Drosophila melanogaster: one gene and its partner. The protein of the gene in region 1 interacts with the protein of each later gene in a pairwise test. Each region holds a gene or a part of one and is shown in the gene's direction. Other genes may lie near its edges.

Region 1 (4,722 bases):
GCAGGTCTGCAGGTGCCGAAGACAAACAGCAAAAGTCACATACTCCAAAACACAGGCGGTGCACAATGGCCACAGAAAGTCAGTAAAAAAACATTAGCCAAAGGCAGGGGGCGAAGAGGAAAACGTAGGAAAACCAAGGAAAATGCTAGCCGAGCGGTGGCGGGGGAAAAGGTCCCAGGGAAAACACGCACACACAAAAGAGGATAACTCGGCGACGGGACATGCGAGTGCACATTTTCGTCTATAAAATTTATTCGCATTAATCGCCGTCAGAGATAAAATTAACGAAAGAATGGCCAAGGACGTGGACGTTTGCCGGGGTGAGAGGGCTAAGGGCTCAGTGGTCAGGGGTCGGGGATCTGGGATCGGAGCTGGGACTCAAAGTCCCGGGATGATAACGCAATATTGACACCTTGGCCCAGGCAGGTAGAACCTGCGATAGCCGGGCATTCTGCGTCTCCAGCGATTCCGTGAGTGGTCCTTTCTGTGAGTGCCATTGCCTAAAGAGCAACAAATTTGCAGCACGAAAAGTCCTTAGTCAAGGATATAGGACGACAATCGCAGGACTGTACTGCGAACACTGTGAAACATAGAAGCATATGATATTTAGGAATATTATATAATAATATCGTAATATCTACGATGGGAATTAGTTTGTATAATTTTGCAATTAATTTTGCCCATATTCAAGTTCATAATTTTTACGACTCCTTGTTAATTTGCATTATCGATTGGGATTACAGTGATGACCTCCATTTTGTACGATTTTTCCGGAGTGTGCCCCGTGTCTATTTCCGTAGTGGGCCTGTCCCACCGCGGTGGTTCGCAAATGGTTGCGGAGTCCTTCCTGTCCTCCAGTGGGTGCCTGGTTGGGTGGGTGGTTTGGCTGGTTGGGTGGCTCGTATGCCTAGACAAGCAGCACCGCAAAGTGGAATGAAGCGTATGCGTGTGTAATTAAGTGCGCAAAAAGACGCAGGAGGCTGTCGTGGTGGGCGGCGGTGAGGGGCGTGGCCGTATATCTGTATTTATGGGACACACTTACATATGTATGCAAATAGGAAAAGCGTGTTGTTGTTGCTGTACTCCTTGAAGGTTGTCGGTGGTGGGATGTGCCGATGGGTGGTGGGGTGATAAAAATGTTGATGTAAATTGCAAAAAGCAGTTTTTATGTCCCATTGCCACATTTTCCAACCGGGAGGTGGGGTACAAAACGCTGAAAGCCTCTGAAGTGGTGCAAATTATTATAAATATTCAGTGGATGGGGCCGGTCGGGTGTGGTGGTGGGTGGTATGGGTGGTTGGATGTTTGCCTCCATTCCCTTTGATGTGCCATTGTTTGCTTTAGTTTCGGTGTCTTTCTGATCAACCAGCCTATAATTGGTGCACTGCTGCTTATCGAGGGCTTAAGAATAGGCAGGATTTTAAAATAAACGAATGTTCTAATAGTGACTTTCACTTTTGCAAAATCCTAGGGGTTGCCGCATATTTAAATGCAATGTCTTGGCATCCCTGACTAGAACTTTCGAAACTTTCATGCTAGTGATTTCTAAATGGCAGTAGGCTGTGCAATTACTTCACTTGTCAAAATAGGACAGCTGAGCGGTGATATGTGTTTTTCCATCACAAAAATTTGTTCCTGAAAGCGGACGGTCGAACGGCAAAAGTGTTCCCAAAACTCAATCGTAATCGTAGTCAAATTCGAGTTTATATTTGTGTAAAATTGAAAGAGACACGTTTTCAAAAATCGAAACAAACGAACAACCAGTAACCAGTAACTGAAAAATATATCTCTAGCATGGTGAGTTCGTAAGCTATTCACTGCGCGAATTTCTACAAATCATTCTATTGGCAGGCATCTTGCAAGCCGCTTTCCGTAAAACTAAAACTCCCAAATCGTGTCCAACCCGAGTTTATACCGCATCCCGGAATGGCGGGTCGTTATACCAATAAGTTGCATTACTTCAAGAAGCATTTGCTCGACGAGGCTCGCAAGAAGAAGTATGCCTTGGACTTCTTGGAGCCCGTGGACACGGAGGCTCTGATGGTGCCCACATACTACACGGTTATCCATCGTCCCATGGATATCGGTACCATTGTGAAAAGAGTTCAGAACAACTACTATAAATCTGTCAATGAAGCGATTGCCGATTTCAAGCAAATTATTAGCAATTGCTTCCTATTCAATCGATCCGGCGATGTCGTTTACCGCAAGGGCCAGATGCTGGAGAAGTTCTTTCACAAGAAACTCCGAGGCATGCCGTCTGGTCCAGAGGTGCCCTGCAATAGGGATCCCAAGGCGGTGGGCAGGCCTAGGACCAATGCTCCTAGTTCCGCGCAGACGGAACGCAAGTGCCGGGAATTATTGAAGAAGTTGCAGAGCATCACCAATCAGACAGATGCCATGACGCGCAATTTCTTCAGTAACAAGTGGGATTCGTTGCAAAAGAAAGTTGATCGCCAGTACTTCAAGTCTGTCAATGAATTTTGCTTGCATGTGGATGGCTGCTTTAGAAAGTACCACGAACCGGCTAAAATCCTCTACGAAAGAGTCTTTAATCAGCCGGCGGCTTGGTGTACTTCCATGAATGGAAACTCATCGCTGGAATCTGCTTTGAATGCCGCAGATCTAAATGAACTACTGGCTGCCGCCAAGTTAACGGTAAATAGCTTGATGCAGTGCGTCCAAATGCCCGGTTCCGGGGAACCTCTGACAGCCAAGAGTTTGGTGGAGACTTTCTGTGACACCTTAAACAAGATGATAAACAAAATGGAGGCAGGTCAACGAAATTCTCCAAACCCATCATCTAGCAAACGACAGAAGATGAGCCCCGAGCAGGAAACGGATTTGGTCCAAGGCGAATTTAAGCCAGCTATGGAGTTGTTAAGTGGAAATGAAATAGATAACCTCATGGCAGTTAGCATTGAATCCTCAGATGATGAAGCTATCGATGCCTCAATGCGTATCACTGACGCGGATCGATGTGCCACACAGAAATTATTTGCCAAGCTTCCGACAAACGCCATGAAGGAGATAATTCACATGGTCCAGCAAATCGAAGGATTTTCCTCAGAGAACTGTGGAGATCTGAGCTTCGATGTCAAAGGTCTCGCCACGGATACTATGATCATGATGAAAAGTGCCGTCACCAAGGCAACTAGGGCCCATAGCAAGCTGAAGCTCAAGGACATGCAGCCTTCGGAAAAGGAAGGACTTCAGCGGGCACTGCAGTCGCAGCTGGTGAACATTACACGGATGCTCAACAAAAATCGTCGCCGATGTGGTCCCTTGATCAATTTCAGGAATAAAAACAACACTGCCAATAACGTGGTGCGTAAGAGAGCAACTGCTCCGCTAACCGCCAAATTGAAGCCGCTACAGGCTAATGTAATGGCTCCACAATTGGGAGCAGGTGTTGTTGAGACTCACAATCTGAGCGATACCAGCGACGATGACGTCTCCGCTCCGGTAAAACTGTCGGCTATTGGTGGCACTCCAATGAGGAATCTCCCAATAAATAGTAATCCTTTGCAAATGCAACCCATCAGATCCCCCCCCAAGTTGCCACACGTTGTCGAACTCCAGATGAGCAGCAGCAGCAGCAGCGAGTCGGAAATGAAATCCAAGTCCGGCAGACTTTCTAGGTCCAGGTCCAGGTCCATGTCCGACACCAAGTTGAGACCCAGGTCAAACTCCAGCGCCAGCTCTAGATCTAACTCTAGTTCTAGCTCTGGCTCCAACGCTGGCTCCAGCTCAGGGTCGCGCTCCAGATCAAGCTCCAGTTCCAGTTCATCTTCGAACAACAGCTCCGAGTCCAACGATTCCTCTGACGTTGAAGTGGTCCCCAATGTACCCGAAGGACAGCTGAGGGCCTAATCCTCATAAAGAAGTCTTATGAATTCTTGCATTTTATGTATATGTAAAAAAAAGGGGGGTTTCACTACAAATATCCCAAATATAAGAAAATAAAAACTGTAAACACCTATATTACACATTCATGTGTACATATATGGTTGGACAAGAAACTAAAAAAAATTAATATGTTTGTAATTCATTATTTCCTAAGAGCTTGGGAAATTGCGATCAGAGATTTAGCATCTCCAATCTCTACTGTCTTTGCAACGATCACGTAGACCAGCAAAATTTTCACGAAAAATTATGCAAATTTCCGAACTTTCTCACGATCGCAGCCAAAAAAGGATAACGATGCTCGCAGTACCTGACACCCAGCAGTCAAATTAGAGCGGAGATCACGCAGATCCTGTATCTCGCGGCGGAAGGAGTTTTTCACAGCCAAGGAAATTTGCATAAGATTTTCACTTGGCGAATATAAAGGGAAGGGCGAGGATGCACTCTCATTTGCATAAGGAAACTCGCATTGCGAAACTGCCAAAAGAACTCGGATGCAAACGAAAGTGAAAATGGGATGGAAAAAGGGAAATGCCACAGAGACAGGGGTTAATTACGGGCACAGTGGACGGCGCCTTGTTCACAGCATGCCGACACGCTCGCACACCTGAGTCCTGCGGCCCGGCCCGAGTCCTTCGTCCTGCGTCCTGCGTGCTGGCAGCAGGGGGTTGAAAAGGGACGGCACTATGGCAATAGCGTCGCAGCTCATTTGCATAAGGTCCACACACGAGATGTGCATGCAATTTACTTGCCCAAAAATTATGTAAATCACTCGTGCAAAAAGGAGACTTTCTCACGCTCCTCGCACAACTCCTT
Region 2 (5,047 bases), on another chromosome or scaffold:
GAAACGCTTTGGATTTGTGTGTTAATGGGGCTCGAACTGCGCGCGATCCAGGGGCGGTTTGTGGTGATTTGGTGGGTATGTAGGGGGACTCGGGGCTGCGTGCTCATTACGCTCGATAAATGCGGCCGGCCTCGGAGTGATTCAAACGTGTAACGGCTGGCGGAGAAGAAAGCGTTCCGCCAAAAAAGGGGTACAAACATAAAAAAACAAATAATACAAAAAGCGCAAGACAAACAAACTGCCAAATGAATCTCTTTGAGGTCAGCAATTGAATGTGCTCGATGGGCAGGCACCCAAAGGGGAATTCAATTAAGTTTTCTATCACCTGTGTGGGTGGTGCTGTTGGCGGTGGTGCTACAGGTATGCGCATTGTTAATTTTTCAAAATGCAAATGCTCTTGCCAGCCAAATTGCTAAAGCAATCTCACCCACGGGCAACATAAGATACAGATACAGACATCTGCACTGCAAATAACGTTTGGCTAACTATCAACTAATCAGTAATAATTGTTATTATTATTTTTTTTTTTTTTTCCCCCTCTTAAGTAGTTATTTAAACTAAAACGCACTTTTGATTCTTAATATAAAGGCTATAATGGTTATACATTTGTTGAGCACATAACTTCGAAATCGTATTATAAAACACCCATTAATATTCTTACTTGATGATAACAATGGTGCTTAATGAATTATTTTTCAGTGTCCAGAAGGAGCGTGTTATTCAGGCAGGGGGATTCGGGAATTGACATCTGTCCAAGTCCAAGTCGAACCGAAATCCGGAATCGAACGGTGCTTGGCATTAGTCTTATGTCTGGCGACGTCCAGTATTTAACCGCCCATCAAACGGAGACGCAGTCCAACTCGGACTTGGATTTGGATTCGAGTCCAAAGACCAAGACATTTGGGAGTGTCGCCCGCGGGGACTCGCCTCGAATTCCGCAGCGTAGACAAAAGAAGTGTGCATGCCAATCCACTCCAGAAGAAAGATCCAAGAGGCAGCGAGCCAAAAACCGAAATGTTTACGTAATCCCACTGGCGAATTATTTATGGGAATTATCATGCGTGTTGCATGATCAAATGGCTATATGTATGTACATAGTATGCAAAGCATTTTGGCACCGAGAATCCACGAGGAATGCAATGTGAGGGAATGCTTTTGAAACGATTCCCAGAAATGCAGGCAAATGTTCTGTTTTCTACTGTGAGCTCATTTGAATTTATGATAAGGCAATAAAAATGAATTATTTCTTTAACATAACTATTCTCATAAATAACTAAATTACTTGACATTCCTTTTAGTCCTGAAACTTTGAACAAATTTTTTTACACCTATGGTGAATAGTGACCAAAAATAAGTTAAAAATATTAACAAAGTTGCGAAATTAATGCATTAAATATCAAACAATACTATAAATTAAACAAGAAACTGATAGATTTTCATTCGTAAATGTTAATTTAAAGCGCCAGAAATCAAAGCTTCGTCTTTAATAAAAGCTTGTCAGTAGCAATAGCCTTCAGCATTCCAAAGCTTTCTTATGTAGACTGTATTAGAATCATATAAAACTAAATATTGTACATTTTATTGTTTAAGCTGACACCTAATAGGTTTCGTTTTATTTTTTCAACAAAAGCGCATTCATTTTGTACAAAAAACATAAGCTTGTTTATTACTTGACATCCCCGCTCTTAGCCGTGACACAAACCGTCAGTCGGAGCTCAAAAGTCTCCAAACTCTCCGCGCGTTTTTCGCTGCGTTAACCAATACTTTCGCCATCCGAAGTTCGCCGAGCGTTCGGGAGAAATCGGCAGGATTTCATCCGAAGTGCCGTCGAGTGTCCTTTAAGGCAGATGATGCTTCGAAATTTGCGCAGTTTGCGTGCGGTTTTCGGAGCAATAGGATGCAGCAGCAATAGAAGCAATAAAATCAACGGCCGCCAAAGAATCAGCTTCATCAGCGGGTTAAATTCTAGAAAGGAGTTGTGAGTCTATAATCTAGCCTCCCGACCACACATCAGACCCTCCTAACCCACCCAACATCCACTCCTTATAGCAATCCTTACGAAAATCCTATGTGAATTCCCAGTAAAGCATCCTGCAATTTGGCGCGTTTCCTGCGCGTTTTTGCGTGTTTTTCCGCGTTTTAGCATTGTTGTTGCCGCTGTCATAACAGCATCGAATTCTCTGGCGGTTTCTCGCGGTGTTTTCTCGTTTCTAGTTTTTTTGCTCAATTTTTTGCAGTGTCCACAGTGATTGAACTATTTAACAACTATATAAAGAAAAGCTGAAATAAAAAACAAACAGTTTCAAGTGACTTTATCATAAAAATTCAAAGAGAGTGTGGAAATTTGTGTGTTTTTTTGGGCTCTGCAAGGACCCTTGGATTACCTTGCGGGGCGAGTGGAATCGGGAGCTATAACTTTGCCGGCGGTGAGTCTGAAACCTATATCAACAAATACGCATGGCGTCAAATTGAGAACCCCCAAAGCCTTCTTATATTTGCTGTATTTAAGTGGTGGAGTGCTGTAGTAGTTTTCCATGTTCCACTAGAGGTATTAAACGGGGGATCCTTGTCTTGCAATGCCTACATTTAAATAATAAATACGTGAATGGGTTGACCATTAAAGTAAATTGGCCTTGCTTTAATTTTGTATTTATTTCTGGGCTGTAAGACACTTACTTTTTATTTATTAAGTGGGCAAATTAGATTTCGCGTTTAAGATAAATAATTATAGAGCTTAAGTGCATTTACTTTCTTTGTATATATTTTATACCAACCAACCAAACTAAACAGCACTCATAAATGTTTACACACTTTTTGTTTATTCACTATTATGTGGGTTTCTTTATTTGCTTTTAAAATGAAGAGCGTGCCACACGTTTACAGAAGTTTATATTTTAAGTTCTACTTGAATTCATACCGGCTTGCGTGTATTTTTGCGTATTTATTTAGGCTTCAGTGAAAGGGGAATTTGGTTTTACGAGTGTATAGTATGAATTTGTGTATTTATAGATATTCCTTCCATATCATTACGGCTGCCATTATCAACGCTTTTATTACGCTTCCGCTTTTGTGTGGCGCCTCCGTTGCGCCCATTTGTTTTTCCACAGCCGCAAACTTTTCCCTTTTTTGTGCCCTTTGATGTTTCACAATAGTTGCGAAATGAAGGGTCAAAGGTCGGCGGTGGTGGTGCGGCGATGATAAGCAACTTGTTACGATGACCATGATGATGAGCGAATTGAAAGCTTTTTCCTAACCCCACCCGCTTGCGGTTTTGGCCCATTTCTATGCTCCCATTTATATTAGTGTAGATTCAACCTTTTTTCGCAGCTTGGGATCAGGGCCAGGTCTGTGAAATCGAATCATTTTGTAGGCTTTATATTTAATTTGCATGGTCTGGTCTGGTCGCACCACCCCATAATGGGTTAGGGTTCAAAGGGACAGGATGGCCGTGTCTAGCAGTCCATACCTTAAATTTGTACTCTCTGTGGGTTAAACTTCCTCCTGCATACTCCTTGGCCAGTTGACTAAATTGAATTAAGGCGGCAGCAACAGTTTTGCGGCGGTTTTTCTTAGATCCGGCAACGAGAAGTATGCCATAAGTTGTGGGTAATATATCTGGGGAGATGGCGAAATCAAAGGAGCTTGATTGATGATAAAGCACTTAACTGGTCGCTAATGGGCTCAGTTTGAATTTTCATGGAAGTAGGGGAGTATAATATGTAGTGGCTTTTATGGTGGTTTATGTATATATAGCAATATATATATAGCAATGTTATTAGTTGTTATAATATCAATTATATCCACTTCTTTCTAAAAAAAAAAAAAAACATCCAAGACCGCTTGACTCTTATTTATTTATTTTATTTTCTGGTTTTCTCTTCTTTATTTTCCCGTCATTATTCCAATCGTCCTTATTCTTTCAGACATTGCAACCTGGCAAACACTTTTCACATTTTTCTTTCCATTTTTTTTTTTTTTTGTTGCCGTATTGCTGTTGCTTCATTAGTTTCATTGGATTTGCCATCGAGCAATGCGATGCGATGCAATGTAGCGGCAACAACAATAAGTTAAATTGTTGCTTCTGCCGATTTCGTTATTTCAAATTTAATTTCCATTCAGGATGCCATTGGAGTGACGGCGAAATAAACCAGCAAGAAATCGAAGGAGCCTGCAACAAGGAGATAGCTGCTGCAACATCAGGGATCAAAGAAGGGATTATAGCAGCAGCCTCTAGCCCTTTAAGTGCTTCAAAGCGAAGGAATAAAAGAAAAAAAAAAGGGTCGGCTTCACCACCCACTGCCATATTTTTTCGGGCAGTGCATATATTTTTAAGCCAACAAAAAAGACCACAAGGACGCCGCCAACGGTGAGCAGCGGTTGAAGCGGCGCTGCAGCCGCAGAAAATGGCCGCATCCACGACTGCAGCGGCGATAACAATAGCAGCAGCAGCGACTGAAGCAGCAGCAACATGAATGAAACCTGCAGCAACTGTGGCAGCAACATTCCACGGAAACGCCGATGATGATGCAGATGCAGATGATGATGATGACAATGCTGATGATGCAGACGACGATTACGACGATGACGACGTTGCCGAGTTGCAGTTTCAAGAGCCACAACACAATGCCAAGTGCCAACAACAAGCTGAGCGAAGGGGGAAATTAAGTGCCAAAGGCAACCGCAGCAACATAGCAACAGCAACAGCAGCAGCCGTAGAAGCAGCAGCAGCAACAGCGAAAAGATTTTTCTCCAGCCAAACTGAATCCAAACTAAATTTGCATAACAAAACACGTGCAGCGAGCGCAGAAGTAAAATCTCCATTTCCCAGAAGCGTAGTCAATAAGGAGGCAGCAACAGCAGCAACTGCAGCAATATAGCCAGCTGCAACATGCCCGGCAGCAACATGTCGCTCTCACTGGGCGTTCGGGGGCGTGGCGCCCTCTGGTTGGCGCTCCTGCTGGCCACCACTGCATTCTGCGGTGCTGCCTGGGCGGCGCCCACAGTGGGTGGTGCTGCGTCAGCGGTGGTGGCGGGGCAAAAGCAGTCG

Evidence for each region.
Region 2: the proteins of tbrd-2 (region 1) and CG43737 interact in a two-hybrid assay, tested with the Drosophila melanogaster proteins (one large-scale study listed by BioGRID).

The regions. Positions count from the first base shown.
Region 1 is NT_033778.4:19,258,271-19,262,992, forward strand, and holds tbrd-2 (testis-specifically expressed bromodomain containing protein-2), read left to right. Parts: upstream 1-1,638; 5' UTR 1,639-1,794; coding exon 1,795-1,797; intron 1,798-1,851; coding exon 1,852-3,873; 3' UTR 3,874-4,024; downstream 4,025-4,722.
Region 2 is NC_004354.4:15,173,574-15,178,620, forward strand, and holds the start of CG43737 (uncharacterized protein), read left to right. Parts: upstream 1-1,867; 5' UTR 1,868-1,978; intron 1,979-2,237; 5' UTR 2,238-2,426; intron 2,427-4,119; 5' UTR 4,120-4,903; coding exon 4,904-5,047.